Styela clava: one gene and its partner. The protein of the gene in region 2 purifies or fractionates together with the protein of the main gene of each other region. This does not show direct contact. Links are inferred from orthologs where the notes say so. Each region holds a gene or a part of one and is shown on either strand. Other genes may lie near its edges.

Region 1 (9,105 bases), on a different chromosome or scaffold from region 2:
CTATTACATGGTATAAATTGCGCGTTAGAGAGTCTAATTCAATTTTCGGTATTTGGTTTCAATCCAAATTTTAGATTACGGTAGTTTAGCAAAAATTTGTCTTGTTGCTACAAAATGTATTATCTTTTTTTATGACATGCCATACTTATAAAAAGTGCTGTTAGGAAAAACCTAAGAATTTATTCAATTATCAGCTCATGTCATTTTTATAAATCAAACCCTACTGAAAGAATTTTTTTCACATTATTTAAAATCTCTAAAATATCCCTAGTCCGGACCAGAAAATACTTTTTTATGCAAATTAAATTAGTTTAGCTACCTATACCTGTTCAAAATATTTTTCTGCAACTCATCTAGATTATGAGAATATAACATATCATCTACCCACTGAAATACAAATGATGATACAATAAGATATGGATTTTAAGAATTCAAGCTGACCAGCAAACTAAAAATACAGACAATAACAGCATCATAATGCCAAAGATATTTTTGAAAAGGGTATTTTCACTCATAAAACTGTAGTTTCAATCCATGATAATTTTTAAAAATACGAATGCAATGAATTCCATTAATCTGGGGTATGTACACTTTGTTAAACTACCTAAATAGCCATGGCCTTGTCGATAATTGGCATAGAAAATTTGAATTTACTAGAGCAGATGAAACCACTATGTAATATAAAATCAATGATGACAATTTAATTTGAATAAACCACAAGATTACTAGAGCTAATGGTTTAGATCCCAACAGAATTAGGATGAAAAATCTCATTAATAAAAGTACTAGTGATAATCGTTAGAACACGCCCAGGAAAGTATTTGAAACCGTTTAATCTGAACTTCATGTGAAAAATATCAGTGGGGAACATTACATTTTTCCAGATGTAAAAAGAGTTGAAAAGGCTTTGAATTCGGTCAAATATTGAAATATCACTTCATGTAACAATAAAATGAATATTAGAATATTATGTGCATAAATGGGGAACACTACATTTTTCCAGGTGAGAAAAAATGCAAACGCTCTGAATTTTGCCACATATAGCATCGGTTAATAATAACACTTTCTTGAAACTAGCATTGAATAATTTGACAATATGATATGCACAAAATAAGTGTGGAAAGCTGTGGTAAACAAGAATAGTGGAATTGACAGTTTGATAATAGAACAGCAAGGATAATTTGTGGAATTTTTAAATGCTACAATCAATGAAAATTATGCTTTTAAGGTATTCAAGTCTAACAAAATATGAAAAGCCAAAATAAGAAAAAATGATCTATGATATTATTAGAAATTACAGTTATTTAACACACATTTATATCCTCTGTGACAATTTGTTGAATTTGAATGTTGGATTTAATTCAATATTTGTACATGGTACCGTACATGACTAAATTTAGATTCAGATTGAAACATTTCGAAGAAATCATACAGTTTAAAACAGCAAAATATTATGAAAGTTATGCCACAAGAAGTAGAATTGAGTTGCAAGCAAACCAAAAAAAAATGGCATAAAAAAACAATATCACTTATATTTATCAAGCGTTAGAGCTGTCAAAATAGACTTCTCAAACTTAACAAATATGACATCTTGTAAGACGCAAGTGCCTGGTCTTAATAAGCCCATAGTCCTCTATTTGTTAATGGCCACTTGGTTAGCCATGTTCTGAGTTACATTTTAAATTATCCTATTAAATATACGATGAAAAGTAAAAGACAATTAGACCAAACAATGATAAAAATATTAACATCACAAAGCGAGTTATCCATAAACAAAAACTGCAAAATTCTGTTTAAATTATCCCAGCTTTTTCACAGTAAGAAATCCTTGAATATTCTTACTTGAAACCGTGAACGGAACATACATCAGAAACATGGTAAGAACCAAACCTTACTAAAATGTAATTACCGGCATATAGAGGGGATTTTTCGCAACCTGTCAATAATAATGTGGATAGACTAATTGAGAAAGGGCATTCATACTTTAATGGCCTCCTCCATATTGAACTGATGGTTACCGTATAGACAGCACTTTTTGAATGGCCTTTTTCTTAGAGTAGGGATGGTTACATGGCACCAATTAGCATTCAAAGTGTCCATGGAGGGCTATTGGGCTGTTGTATAGACAGAAGGTTAAGAATAAAGACAGATAAAGGGTCTCAATCTGCATTTGAATGACCTCAGAGGGTTATCGGGTTGCCATGTAGATAGCAGGTAACAAAAAGGGATGGATACATAGTCCTAGCAATTTTTGAATGGCCTAATCTGTAGAAAAATTAATTCGGTTTCTATTTAAATAGCAGATTTCATTATAAGTGTTTTTCTAAAAATGTTCCGCTTGGTTTTCAAAACTCAAAGATGATCAAGTCACGACAATAAGTGAAAAACACCAGTAAATATATGATCCAAAGTGGCTTGATAAAACCGATAGTGGAATAATTGAGTTCCAGAAATCTTGAGTGAAAAAAATCACAGGAAATAATCGGGAGTGCGTCTAGTAACATGGGGTTCTCCACGTCTCGGAGCGGGATCAAATTGTAAGAATGAGTAGCGTAGAGCGTCGTCTAATTCCATAAGAGCGGCCTGGTTTCCACATCTGTAGCAGTAGTTAGGAGCGCTGAAAATGGTTACGACGTTGCGATCTTGACTCCAGTTATAACCTTCCATGACAAGTTGGTGAGCACGAGAGATGAGAGTGAGACCATTGTGATGGTTAAACGTTTCCGAGATGTCTTGTCCAAAAGTATATCCAGCACCACGAGGGGAAATACCCCAACCGCTTCGATCATCTGGGTCAGACCATAAAAGGTCACACATCGGTCCTTCGTGTGGTACTTCTTGAAGACGGTCCAAAGCACGAATGTGATCAAGCGTATCAATAGAAGGTGACAGTCCACCATGGAGACAGAAAATTTGTCCGTCGACGAGCGCCGTCAGCGGGAGGTAATCGAAAAGATCAGTGAAATATTTCCAGACATTAGCATTTCCGTATTTTCTTAAACATTCGTCATAAAATCCGTAAACTTGGGTAATTTGTCGAGATTCATGATTTCCACGTAAAATTGTAATACGATGCTGAAATCTGACCTTCAAAGCGACAAGCAAGGTTACAGTTTCAACAGAATAGTAACCTCTATCCACGTAGTCACCCATGAACAAATAATTTGTATCAGGCGAGCGACCACCGATACGGAACAATTCCATCAAATCATGGAATTGTCCATGGACGTCTCCACAGACAGTCACCGGACATTTCACTTCTTGCACATTTGATTCTTTTGCTAAAATCTCCTTGGCCTTGTCGCACAACGTTTTGACGTTGCTTTCCGCTAGTTGCTTGCAGTCGTACAGTTGTTCAATCCATTGTTCCAAATCCTTACTTGTTGGCAGGGCTGACACTGTAGTCTGCTCCTCCATTTTTTTTTCAACAAAAATATTCAAGACTTAAACTTAATTTGTTTACGAGCATAAAGCTAGATCAAAAATAAAATAAGTTAGATCAGAAATGCATTAAAACTGGGAGTAAATTGAATTAAAACTGGAGTACATAGGTAAAGAATGAACATATTAAAACTTCAAATTTGCACAAATTTTGAAGTTTCTCAGCAATGAAATTCAAGAACTCATTCGAACCTATGAATCAGTGGAGCATAAAATGACAGCAATGGTAATGCAATGTTTAAATAAGGATATTCTGGCTATTGAATGAACACAACAAAATCACAAAATTTTAATTCCAAGTTTTGCAACTTGGATAGGATTTTAAGAAAGATAAATTGGTCTAGTTCGGTGTGATTTGACCATGTTCATATCAGAGAAATAAGGCAGAATATAATCAAAACACACTTTGGAACACTAATCTAAATTAAAACGAAAACATGGATATATTTGATGTCACACATTCTCTAAAATGAATGCAGCATAAAAAGAAACAGTCCGAATTCCAGACAGAATATTATTATTCCGACGAGTCGCACTTCATTGATTTTTACTGGTGATAATCATACCAAGATGAACCAGAATGTAGTAAATGCAGTTAATGCAAAAAATAAGATAAACCTCCTATATTCCTGAGGGAACATGCTTTAAGCAAATTTAAAAAAAAATAAAATAAAAGCACACATCAAATTTAGGGCATTACAGTGGTATCATTAACCCCAGGGCTTCTTAACTATCAAAATTTTGGCCGCAAAAACGTCGCTATTGTGAGTGTAAATTATGTTTTGCACCAGTTTTGATAATTGTGTTTCGAATCGAACGCCTAAAAAAGTTTAATAGATAGGCCGATAGCACTTTGTGTGAATTTGGTGTGATCTTTGCAAACCCTAAAATTCGTTGTTCACCCATTCGATTTGAGAAGCCCTGATCTACCCTTTCATTGCTACTCCTGATTTATTCCTAATATAAATAAAGAAATAGGTTCACAGTTGAAAATAATACGTAGCATAACGTAGTTAAACCAACTAATTAAAATGCCTACGAAAACCTCTATCAGGTTTTCCTCGTTCAATAAATTTCCTTTTTTTATTATTCGATCTTTCAAAAGAATGGCCAGGATTATTCGATTTTCGATTTTTACTGTTTGAACGAAAAAATTCATCGTTTTGTAAATTAGGTTCTGGGTTGTAATGTTTGTTTTGAGATTTAGATTCTTTGTAAGATACTTTTCGCTTTGAGCTTCGCATATTTTTAGAAAATTGCACATCATCTTTTGACACTTCATAAGAAACAACCCTTTTGTCAAAAAAGTTTAGAGCTGAAGAACTTGATTCTTGTGGAATTTGCTTTTTGAACGTTCTGTCAAGCTTTTTTCTAGTGGATGAACTTGTTTCTTGTGGGATTTCTTTTTCAAACTTCGTTTTAGATCTTTTATTGCTCTTTTTCCGTAACGCCTTGTCAGCAGGACGTAGCTGATTATGAGCTATTCTCTGCCTTTCAGTGCTCGGTTGACGACTCTCTCGCACTTGAACTTTAACACCATGTCTTCTGGATTTGGAAGGTTGGCGTTCAGGTGAATCAAATATAATATGTTGACGTTCTTTCCGTCTTGCATAGTTATTATTAGACTCTTTCTCCTGTGAGAAGTCACCATGGTTACCACGATTGCCTCCATAAGATCTTTCAAAATGCGAACTTCCTTGAGACTCTGAACTTCTCTTTCCTTTCAATTTCTTTCTTAAATCCTGTGGAACCGTAGAAACAGCTTTTTTATCGTATCGTTGAACGTAAGGCGCTAGCATCGCGTAAAATTGATTTGCTCTCGGAGATTCACATTCATGACCAAAGTGGCCGATCCCTGCGCAATTAAAGCATTGGGGATCACTTTTGAGCGGCACTGGTATAGTTGGGACTTGAATAGGACCAGGTTTTGTAGTTATATGAAACTGTCTCCATAAATCCGGACAATCAATTTGTATATGACCTTCTTGAGAACATCTATTACATACCATGTGTCGCCCCCGGTATCTTAAACCCTCCTTTTGAGGACAGTCACGGCCAACATGACCCCTGTTTCCGCACATGAAGCATGCTGGTCCCTTCTTTTCCACAGTACAGTCTTTCACTTTGTGGCCCACTTCATCACAATTTCTGCATCTTATTCCTGAATTTTTAGAATTACCAACAAAATACCTCCCTGCTCTGCCAGCATTATTATTATTAGTAGTAAATTGCTTGGTATCTTCTATATCTATTTTCCAGCATGACTTTGGGCCTTTTTCTGGAATCCACGCATCGTTTGGTTCTTGTCCCATTTCCATGTCGGGTTCCTCTTGTTTTTCTGAGATGTGAAGGTCTATTCCCCCATCACAGCTATCAGAAGAGCCATCTTCCACACTATCAACTATTTCCCAAGTTTCAGGAACAAAATCGCTTGTTTCCGAATCCAGATGTTCTCGTAAACGAGAAAGATCTTCCTCATTAAAGACTTTGTCATCATTTTTTTCATCAATTTTTTGCAAAGTGGGGGTCGCAGTACCGCTACAAATTCGATCAAGCCCAGAATTACTTTCATCGCCTGAAACTTCATCAGTAACAATAAAATCATTTTCTATGATATAATCGATAGAACTATGTGATGAATTGTCATCTAAAACGGCTTGCTCAACGTTCGGCCTTTCAACGAGCAAATCAGTTTCAAGAGAGTCAGAATCATAGCTGAACTGTTTCGATTCTGAAACAGGATTGTATTCACTTGGAATTGAAGGTTCAATTGTTTCTTCGGCCTCTGTGACATTTAGAATTGGGGTAACATTTATGAGATTATTCTTTGAACTAGGACTGTCCGAGATTTCAATAGAACTGTCGAAATTTTGACCAAACCTTGTATCGCTGTCTTGGGTAGAGAAGGTTGCAGTTTCATCTTGTCTATCGCCACCAAGTGGATTTATTGTCTTAGTTTTATTTTGGTTACGAAAACTCTTAAAGGCATTTTGATCCGCAGAAAAACAAGTTTCTACGATTGGTGTTTCATCTTGTCTATCGCCATCAAGTGGGTTTATTGGCTCAATCCTATTTTGGCTACGAGCATTCTCATTCTGATCCGCAGAAATACCAGATATTTCTACGACACTTACTTCATTATGAAGTGATATGGCATCAGATATAACTTCGTTTTCCGCAGCATAATGAAGTTGGCTGTACAAATGAAATTCTACGTCACTGTCTATTTCGTCAGAATCCGAGAAATCACTACTTTCTTCATCCGATAAAAAATTGTCAACAAAATCATCAAAATTAGAAACAACGGGGAAACGCTTGTTCATATTTCTGACTATGAAATTAGGTACAAACACATTTTGGCTTCTTATTTACATGAGCTAAAATTTTTCAACAATTTTGGTTTGATTAAAATGTCCGTGAAACCTTGTAATGAGGAAAATAACACAAAAGAACTATAGTCCCAAGCAGTCCTACACACAGAAACACTTCAACTGAATACTGTCTGAAGAAAAATGTCTAAAGAAAGGGAAGTGAAGACTATTGTCTGGAGATGGCCGAAAATCTGTAGTTTAAAGCAGGGGTGAACGAATTGCAGCCCGTGGGCCAAATGCGGCCCGCAAAGAAAAATTGTGCAGCCCACAAAGAAGAGCCCAATTTTGAAAAATGTGCCCGCGAAACGAGTTTTTAGTTTAATTAATAATTAATCTGGAGCGTTGCGAAGCATATATACCAGTATCCGAGTGCCACTGCCATATCAGTGAAGCTAGCTAGAAAGATCCTGTTGGAAAATACGCAATGTTATAAAAGAGCGTTTCCCACTGAATTCGTTTAAAGTCGGTGTGACAATAAATTTAAATAGCAGTTTGCTTCAAAATTTTTTGCGATTCAACTCAGGATTTCTGCTAGGACCCCGAACAATGCCGTAAGATCAATTACAAAAAGGAACAACTTTTTGTTCTTGCATAATATAGTAGAAACTCTACCTTCGAATGGCCCTGGATATGAAAAATTAAACTTACGGGAATTATTTTCGTAAAACTTGCCTGGACTAATGTAAGATTTTCCACATCCGAAAACAAAAAATGCGTGTAGTGTAGCGATATTTGCTTATTTTGATGCAGTGCTTGAAGCACGGATGTTCAATTCGAATTTATCATTCCAATATCGCGAACTTCGATTATCGGTTTTCGAGTTTGAAAGGATACAGAATATCGCCGACCCCAACGTTTGGATTTAAAACATTTCACAATTATTTCATTTTTTATCGTAATTGAAGGCAGTCTTATAATGAATAAAATAAAATTTTAAATTTCATGTACTTGTGCTTATTTTCGAACATTACGATCTCCTTCAGATATTAACTTTTAACGCCTCCCCCGACCGCCGTCCTCCCACTCTCCACAGTCTTTGCTTAGTCCAGTCAAATATTATGTCAGAGTTTTGTGGAGGGAAGGATTAATGTCTTTCAGGTAAACAGCGTCCGTACTTACGAAGGGGCTTGGAACAAATTAATTTCGTATAAATTACAGAAACCCATTCGCAAATAGAATTCTTTAGGGTACACACGGTAAGAAGAAATAACAGAAAAATACCGAATGAAAAGTACGAATGTTTTTCGTATCCAGAGAGTTTCTAGGTGCGGCCCGCGGTTTCACCCAGTTACTTGTATTTGGCCCGCCTGTTAAAAAGGTTACATAACCCTGGTTTGAAGTTAGAGCAAGGGTGACCAAGACGTCGATCGACCAAAAAATTGCCTTGAACCAGTTTTGAGCGTGCAGTGTAAAACAGAAGGAGTACAGTACAGTACATGCACAAAATACAATACACATTACTCGCATACAGTATTTGAGACTGGGCAAGCGCGAGAAAGCATGAAAGTTTCGCCGCTGCCGCGATTTGAAAATGAACGTGACAAATATTTTGTTTTTTCCTACAATAACCCCTGCAGTATGCGAAACTTATTGTCTCCAAGATTATTGTGATAAATTTTATTCGCAAAAAGACATTGCAGTACGGCATACTATACAGATCTAGAGACATTGTCTCCTTTCGAAGAATCCCATTTGCCGATGAACAAACACCCCTTCCTTGGGGGATGTCTGGACATTGTTGTCCCTCAATATCGGTAGAAATACAGTAAAATGAAGCTGAGCAAAAAACTGCAAAATAACACAATTTAAAAACGTCATCATTGAATTCTTCTGGAAAAAATAATTCGATTTACCAAAGGGAAAATTTTTCTACCATGGCATTTGAGAGTTTTAGCAAAGAACTGCAACTTTGGTCATGTGACGGCACGATTAATTTAGAATATTACCGGGAGAAGCATGGCGTAATATGACGTTTCTGCCGTTACGTCAGGCGGCCCTTGTTTGTGAATTGTGAGACACATGAGGTGTTTGTTTTATTGAACTAAATGACAGGACATTATTGGAATTTGTATCGTGTGCCGTACTGCATTGGCACATGACAAGACCAATTTTTTTAATTCCGAGCGAGCGAAGAATCGGACTATTTTATAGGTATCGAAAATATCCACACATCCCTTAGGCCAAATCGCACAGAGAAATATTAGGTGTCAAAATGACAATTCACCGTTTGTAACAGACTCTGGTGAAATATTAACGAATCGTACTAAAATCCGATCTACACATTCTGACATTC
Region 2 (8,154 bases):
ATTGCTAATTTCAGACATAACAATATGCTACACATAATAACAATATGGTTCACATAAATTAACATAAAAATATACTGGTAGGTAGTAGAATACTCTAGGCATAATGGATATTCGATCGTTGTTGCTTGCTTCATTTGCCTGTATTGCCAATGAATTTTATTACTCTCAGAAAATATACACGATTATCTGAATACAAGTAGTATTTTTGTCAATAGACTTGGGTATTATCGTAATATCATGGTATGAATGATAAAAAGCGTCAGACAACTCCTTGGCTATCTTTTCATATGGTCATTTGTACTAAGTGTACAATTTTAATAAACTGACTGTGTCACAAGTTGCTATTATTTTTTTTTTTGATAGCTATAAACTATCAATTACTTTGTGTACATATGCTGTTGGTATGTGGCTTTATTCTGATATTTCTATTGGAACTCATTTCCTATTTTACTTGGTTTTAATAAACTACAATAAAAATGTGTTATTTTCGATTTTAGAATGTATTCGGAATTCCAGATTCGAAAACATTATTTTAGAATGTATTCGGAATAGGTTAGTATTCGGAAATGGCCATCCCTGGCCGTGGTTCGTCATATGGTTAAGCCGTCTTATCACTTTCCTCTCCCACGGCATAAATATGTGTAGTAGAAATAATAGTGGTTTTATGTTGCCAATGCAGAAAATTAGTTTAAGGAATTATTGGGAAAAATATCTGGAATATTTAGGTTAGACATTAATTTCAAAATTGATAAATCTCCAAATTTGAAGTCCCCGCGTTCTTTGGGTGATAATGCTGATTCATTGCTTATTTTTAAGGCATACTTTGCTAACTTTAACAGAATACCCCATTGTGCCCCAGGGTCTGTCCGAATGTCCGCCCCACTTGACAAAGGTTTCTGAAAGCATTTTAATGGTAAGATGTGTATCGCGCGCAAGGGAAATTATTTGTCGCTAAAAAAAAACTATATTTACCCCTCTCGGCATTAGCCTCGTGAAGTGAAATGAATGTGAAGAATAGAGGACTCAAAATATGCAAAAGAAGAAAAGTGTCCCAACCTTTCACTACTGTAATCTATATAAGCTACCAGGAACTTGAAATAAATTCGGAATCTGCTTGAATGTTACTATATGACGAGAATGCAATATATGTTTTGTTCGTGTCATTTAGGTAGGTTAATGTTCGGCGTTTTCTGGACACTTCGTTGAGGTTAGCGCTTTTATTTTCGTGAGTGAGATGAACAGGAGTAAGTGTTGTTCGAATTTCATAATTATTTATTTCATGTATGTACATGTTCTACAATTGATATATATATCAAAGATAAGACCACAGCACGTTTTAATTTCATTCAGTAGCTTATTTCCAATCAGCAATACCCCAAACTGACAATTTTACGTACCTATTTAATTTTATTAGTTTGTTGCTATGGCTACGCAATTTATAGTTTAAATGAATGCAAGATGAAGATTAACAAACTACCATCATCGTAGTGCCGTCATCTCAAAAACTGCAGAACTGTTTCCACATATGCATATATAATATATATGATAATTCAAGTTTGATGCCTAATATTGATATATACATGTATTATCTCGCGTCTCCTTCACCCTGACATATGGCCTATTTATAATTTAATTTATTGCAATTTGTATGTTTGTGCCTATTTTAAGTATGGTCAAAAATTAACTACTGATTACTTCTTTAAAGAGTATATCAGTTATCAAACTGCATTTCCATTCGAAGTGGGGTCCAAATTTCTTGCGAAACGGAACTCCGATTTTCACCTCGCGCAGATGCAAGTAATATGCCTGTATGATCAGATGTATTTGACTGAAAACAGCAGAGATGCAGGCTCAGATATATATATGATACTGGGGCCGATTTTGAATGGATTAATTAACTTTGTCGTTGTTACGAAGGCATTTCGTGTTAATATAATGATTCCCAGGCGACGTCTTCATTTTTATAGACTAGTCTTGATTAATACCATGGAAAATCGTAGAAGCCTATTATATACAATACATAAATATTTGTCCTCTTAAGAATAGTGTGTATATACTTAAAATTTATTAATCCGGAAGATCTCGAGATTGTTGAGTAATTTGCGATCTTGTATATATATTTTTATTTAGCCTTTGCAACACTATTGACAAGTTTAATCTAGCGGCAAAGGTAAATTGTTTCGTGAAATTCGTGAAATTTCCTCAATTACACTGTTAAATTAAGGAACGTGCGAGCTTATCAATCAGGGCAAGCAGGGCAAGCATAACGTGCTTTCGATGAGGTTAAAACTGATCATCACAACTGTGAAAACAAGGTTTAAAACGAGTCAAATATAAAAACCTGAAAAAAAAACACAATAAAGGAAGTACTGTAACAAGGTACAGATTTTACTAGTGTAAATGTTGTTTTACGTTCAGTTCACGAGGTACTAAGTACCAACGTATTACAATCCACACACACTGATGCCCGTGCAAGATACATGCCCTTGAAAACAAACTGGCTATCTAATCACATACCCGACATGGACTGGTAATTGGATGCGGGGCCGTGGTTAGCCAAATGATCAAGCCGTTTCATTGGCTTTCCTCTCTTTCAAATGGATTTGCAAATCCTACAATTCAGATTTCAATAAGCAGCAAATAAGTCAGTTTGTAATGTTTCGTTTTTGCATAAATTTTGCTTTCAATTACAAACCGTAGCTGGTCCGAGGCTAGCACTTTATCCCTTTATTATGCCTATCAAGGCGCTGCTACTATTGGAGTGAAAGGGCGTTTTGAGGATGATATTTCATCAAAAAGAATCACCCGGAAAATTACGCCGAATCATTATTAAATAAAGATTTATCAACGAATCAGAGCGAAGAGGATCTTTCAATCGTGATGGCTGGTGTGTAATTAGTACTAATTAGTTGATACACCTTTAATTTATTGACTTGTTTGAGGTACGTTTTCACAGCTTGGAGAGGATCGATAATTTCGAATTTTCACTTCTTAATAAGAATTACTATTCGTATGGCGCGGTAGTTAAAATCGCAGTTACTTATATAATATTATTAATAGTTAACGCAATGTATATCGCATACGGTACCGGTAACGTTACTGATGATTTTATACCGGTACGGTAAAGTAGTAAAGGGTTAAGCTTTATCTATTAGCAATTAACGTAGGCCTACTACTATGCTGATTAGTCTCCGAGTGAATGAGTTGCTATTGTGATAACGTTACTGCTTGGTGGCTGAATATTTGACAGGATTTAAGGTTTATGGGAGCAATAACTGAATAATTTAGCCATTCGTTATCTAATTCCAGAATTCCCACCAGACTAGAAATATATTACATTGACAGATTGGTGTTACTCATGGTGCATGAATATCAATTTGTCATTGGTCTGATTATTTTTCTGCCCCAGTCGTCTTAATTTCTGTGATCTCTGCACCATCTCATAAAACCACCACTGCAACTCTGAGCTAAAAATGCATTCACAATGACAAACACTTTTTATGTCATTGCATAGAAGCCATATGTTCTGTCTGTTCAAGCCACATGGCGAGTGGCGCTGATAATGACGACTAATGCTGTAAATGCTTAATTGTTGTGATTTATTTTCTCTTATCGTAACTTTGAATCGAATATTTTATCGATCTTTTGCATCACAATGCTATAATCACTCATTGCCCCATGCAAAAAATAATGATGTTACGCATATAATGTGTGAAAGATATTATTAGCGTTATTTTTTTTAAATCATTTGTGCAAACCCCATTGTACACAGTCTCATCATAAATAGACTATTATCCAGAATGCATAATATGACCGATCCTATTTTTCAAATGACCGATTCAAATGTCAGTTGTGCATAAATTACAGATAAGGTTTTGGAAAAATACGGATTTGACAGCTTTCATTTAAATTTCAAGGAACTCATTGGCAACAATGATTGTTTTTATCCGTCTCTTGTTTTCGCTTTCATTCATTGCTTGAAACATGCTTTCGTTTCGAATGGTGTGGTACGAAATCGTCATATCGATTGGAACATTTTTCGTTAATTGCCAGTTTCGTTAAATTTGTTTGAAATACATTTGCATCTGAATTTTCTGAAAACAATATTCTGTGGCCATGGTATATAAACTGAGCTAGTTGCAGTTGACATAACTGTTGAAATCTTGTATAACTTTATGCATTAAAAGGTTACACTCAAATCAGTTTTATTTACGAAAAAGTCCAGATATACCCACTTGAAATATTCGTCAAAAGTTAGAGAGCATTTCCACAGTATGGGATTAGTTTTCATTCATATACACCCCTTCATAACGCTTCCCTTTTTCGATTCTTCTTTAAAGATGTGAGCAATCAAATGGTAATAGTTTGCTGTACATAATTGACAGTATGACATGCTACTTGATTGAACAAATTAAATAGGTTTCCTGCTCTAAGTAAAATTTGAGCTTTTTCGATTTCTCAATCTTTGGAAAATTTTGACGAGCGATGGTCTCGCAGTTCAACTGTTAGCATTGCAGATTACAGATCTTGTTTTCAAATCTCAGATTATTTCCCAAATCATAGGTAGCTCATTGCATATCATTAAATATTAGTGACAGCTGGTATAGTGTAGCTTTGTTCCAAGCGAAAGGTGCAAATACTCGTCATAAAAAATATTTATACTCGTGAAACAATAGCCTATATTTTGACTTACACATGATGCCAGTTTTTATATACTGCTTTCTAATAAATATAGCGTAGTTTCCTGGTTAGTCTATCTTTAATATTTTGTTCAGTTTGATCTTTATGTATGGATTATTTATCACTAAGAAGTCGAGTATGTCCTAGGTTTGCTGACACTTCAACATCTAAAGAGACTTTTCCGCTTGCTACGCATTTAGGAATGCGGGATAAAAACAAAAATTACACTGTTCTAGGTAACTTCAAAGAGACCAAACTATGCGCTCTAATATTTTATGGAGATTTTTAAGTCCATATCCTAATAATCATTAATTCAATATAACTGGTTTATTTGTGGATGAAATTGGATATTAATCGACATGGTATAAACAATGGAGTAATTGCAAATTGGTCAATTATGGTAGTAAAGCAGACACACCTGTCACACTATTCCTTGGATATGTTCACCTTTTGCATCTTGCATTGCATGGCCTTTTTGTTAATTTTAATTTTCTTTTATTCTAGCAAGTTCGAGTGGATCTGGAGGAGGGAGCAGTAACAGTGAACTGCAGTGGTTTTTTTCCCAAGTCAAAGGAACGATGGATGAGGATGTCTCTGAGCGTAAGCACGTTTTCCGTTACGAAAAAGCTTAGCATGACATTTGCGATGTTTGAATTCTATAAATTGAATAATGTGGATGAAAATTAATATTTGTTACTGTGACTGTTAATATATAGTAACCTCCCTCGGTTTGACCTCAAATTTGTTATTAATTTCAACTGTGTTTCATGCTATTGTTTTTCTCATGTTGTGTTTCCACCTCATTCTCTGTAAATGTAGTTTAGTTTTATACTTATTTGACAGCTGACATCATCTCCACTGTTGAATTCAACTATGATGGAGAATTATTGGCAACTGGAGACAAAGGAGGTCGTGTCGTGATTTTCCAAAGAGAACCAATGGTATGCTATTTCTATACAATATTTATAATCTTCTTTACATATGTTGTTTTCAGGCAGTCTGCTGAACAACATTCAATCAAAAATATCTTGTTGTACAGGTGCACCAAAAAGGAGTATGAAAAATGCCCTTGCTAAATTTTTTATTCAGGTGTCCTGGTTGATAATAAATAGAAAGAACAGCAATTCTATAGCGCTTTTCCAACAAAATATTGCCTTAATTATCAATACAGAAGTTTCTCACCGATAAAGTGCACACACACTTTAATAAATAATAACTACGGTAATATAGCCAGATACTGCTTTTCTAACTTTCCATCCCTAGCCTGAGCAATAGGTTTCACATCTCCCTGTCTTGAATAAAAAATTAGATCAGAAAACACACACACAGGCCTAATAATTGACATATCTGGATAGTGCGGTTGTTTTGTTCTCAGCTTAAACTGACAGCATTAATAAGACGAATAAGATTGGAATAATTTTTGAAAATTGCAAAAGTGTGTCTAATACTAAAAATAAAACAAAGAAGAAACCTTGTTGTTGTCACACTTCTCTAGCTCTGACAGATATACATACCAGTTTGCTTTGTTCAGTTTGCCATGTGGAGAATAAAAGATTTTACTCATAGCAAATGTGATAGAGAGCATGTTTTGAATCAGTTGAATGCCTACAATTCCATGAAGCAACTATTTACTATTTTTTAGGAAATGATTTCAATGATAGACAACCAGTGCCAAATATTAATTATTCATTTGCATCTAGACAATTTTGTTTTTTGTTATTTTCTGGAAAATAAAAAAATGGCACTGCTAAAATACCCTATCTTTTATCCATGAGCGAATTATGATTATATTCAAGTCTGAAGTTTTTCTTAGTTTTGCTGCAATTTCAATTTTGAATGGCCTATTAAATTTTCCTGCCGTTTCATTCACTCTCTAATATTTCAGACAAAGAATAGCGAAGTGCGTGGGAGTGAATACAATGTTTACAGTACTTTTCAAAGTCATGAACCAGAGTTCGATTATTTAAAAAGTTTAGAAATTGAGGAAAAAATTAATAAAATTCGATGGTTACAACGCAAGAATCCTGCACATTTTCTACTTTCCACGAATGGTATGTTCATTTATTTTTAAATCTGTATTTTGTAATTTTCAAATCAAAAGCAGTAGGCTATGGATATTTTTACAAATGAAAGAAAAACTGGAAATTTACAATCATCCTCTAACGTTGTTCTCCAGTTCCGAACTCCCAAGGAAATCAAATTTTGATAAAAAAAATTTCAGGCAGACTGTCAATTACTATCCTTCACCTTAATTGGTGATTATCACCATTAGAAGTCTGAAAATTCAACTATCAACCTCAGGAAAATGCAAAATTTTTACTTCGGTTTACTATGCTGAATTCTACTTGGTGGATTGAATATTAGAATATAAATAGAAATGTATTTACCACATTAGAAGACTTTTTTGATTCAGCATAATGCACCTTCAATTATAAGTTAATTCTTAATTTATCAGCTCATTTATGCAATAAATTCAAGCTAGAGAAATTTTGATGATTTAATGCACATACCATCTGTTGAGAACTTATTTATTCTATTTTATGTAAATATTATTCCCCTTTGCTGAATTTTTAAATTTAATAAAACTAAAATAAAACTATCTGCAATTTAGTAGCTATTTGTTATCATTGGTTAATGCTGGCATGCTGTGTAACATTTATTTGTTGTTCAACAAATTTTGATGTTTTACTAGGTTAGACATTTCAAAAAATTCTTGAATTTCGAAGTAAACAGGTTTTGTGATCGTGAATACTTTGAATACTAAATGTCGGTTATTCATTAACCCAAAGCCCAAAGAAATCGAAACAGATTTCTTCCAATAGAGAGTGGCCGCTATCAGGCTCGTTAATATTAGGAGCATGAGCACGCATAATCGTTTAGTTACAAAGAGTATGTTCCATTTCTTATAATATTGATTTTGGTATATTTATTTGTACCTTGCAACCATTGCCACTGAAGTGATTCTACTCATAATAATAATATTTATCAGAGTATACCATTTATCATGGAAAATTGAGAACCACAAACCTAGATCGATGGTTCCCACCAAATTTTTCTTGGCGCACCTACAAAGGGTGATTGATCTAATTTTTGGCAAGTCTTGAATACCTCGTCACCAAAAGCAATGGAGTGAGAGTTTCAGACTGACCTAAGTAGTATTTAGTCAAAGTTCACTGGAAAAAAAATTGAGGACCTGCCATTCTGAATTTAATTTCCATTCTTTTTAATGATTTCCATTCTTTCATTAATTAATTTCAATACAGAAATAGCGATTGGTATTTATAAATGTATATCTGATAACAACGTAGAATGTATTTTGGCTTTACCTTCTATTAATAATAAACCTACATTAGAATGAAAAGTTTTGCATGCTGTTACGACCATTTCGAATATTGCTACCGATATTTTAAAATTTGCCTTCTCAAAGCAAAATATGTGTTAAAATTTTACTTTCTGTATGCCTAATAACTTTGA

Evidence for each region.
Region 1: the proteins of serine/threonine-protein phosphatase 2A 55 kDa regulatory subunit B delta isoform-like (region 2) and serine/threonine-protein phosphatase 2A catalytic subunit beta isoform purify together in Caenorhabditis elegans (affinity purification with western blotting; 3 studies listed by BioGRID, with this or other methods). This does not show direct contact. The link is inferred for Styela clava from reciprocal best matches to the Caenorhabditis elegans genes sur-6 and let-92.

What each region holds. Positions count from the first base shown.
Region 1 is NC_135256.1:2,853,877-2,862,981, reverse strand, and holds the start of serine/threonine-protein phosphatase 2A catalytic subunit beta isoform, read right to left. Parts: upstream 3,479-9,105; 5' UTR 3,418-3,478; coding exon 2,470-3,417; 3' UTR 1-2,469. Other genes in the region: uncharacterized protein LOC120327840, read right to left, coding at 4,464-6,764.
Region 2 is NC_135258.1:22,217,425-22,225,578, forward strand, and holds the start of serine/threonine-protein phosphatase 2A 55 kDa regulatory subunit B delta isoform-like, read left to right. Parts: upstream 1-4,722; 5' UTR 4,723-4,789; coding exon 4,790-4,916; intron 4,917-5,184; coding exon 5,185-5,280; intron 5,281-5,523; coding exon 5,524-5,621; intron 5,622-6,565; coding exon 6,566-6,731; intron 6,732-8,154. UniProt on the Caenorhabditis elegans protein: Probable regulatory subunit of serine/threonine phosphatase let-92.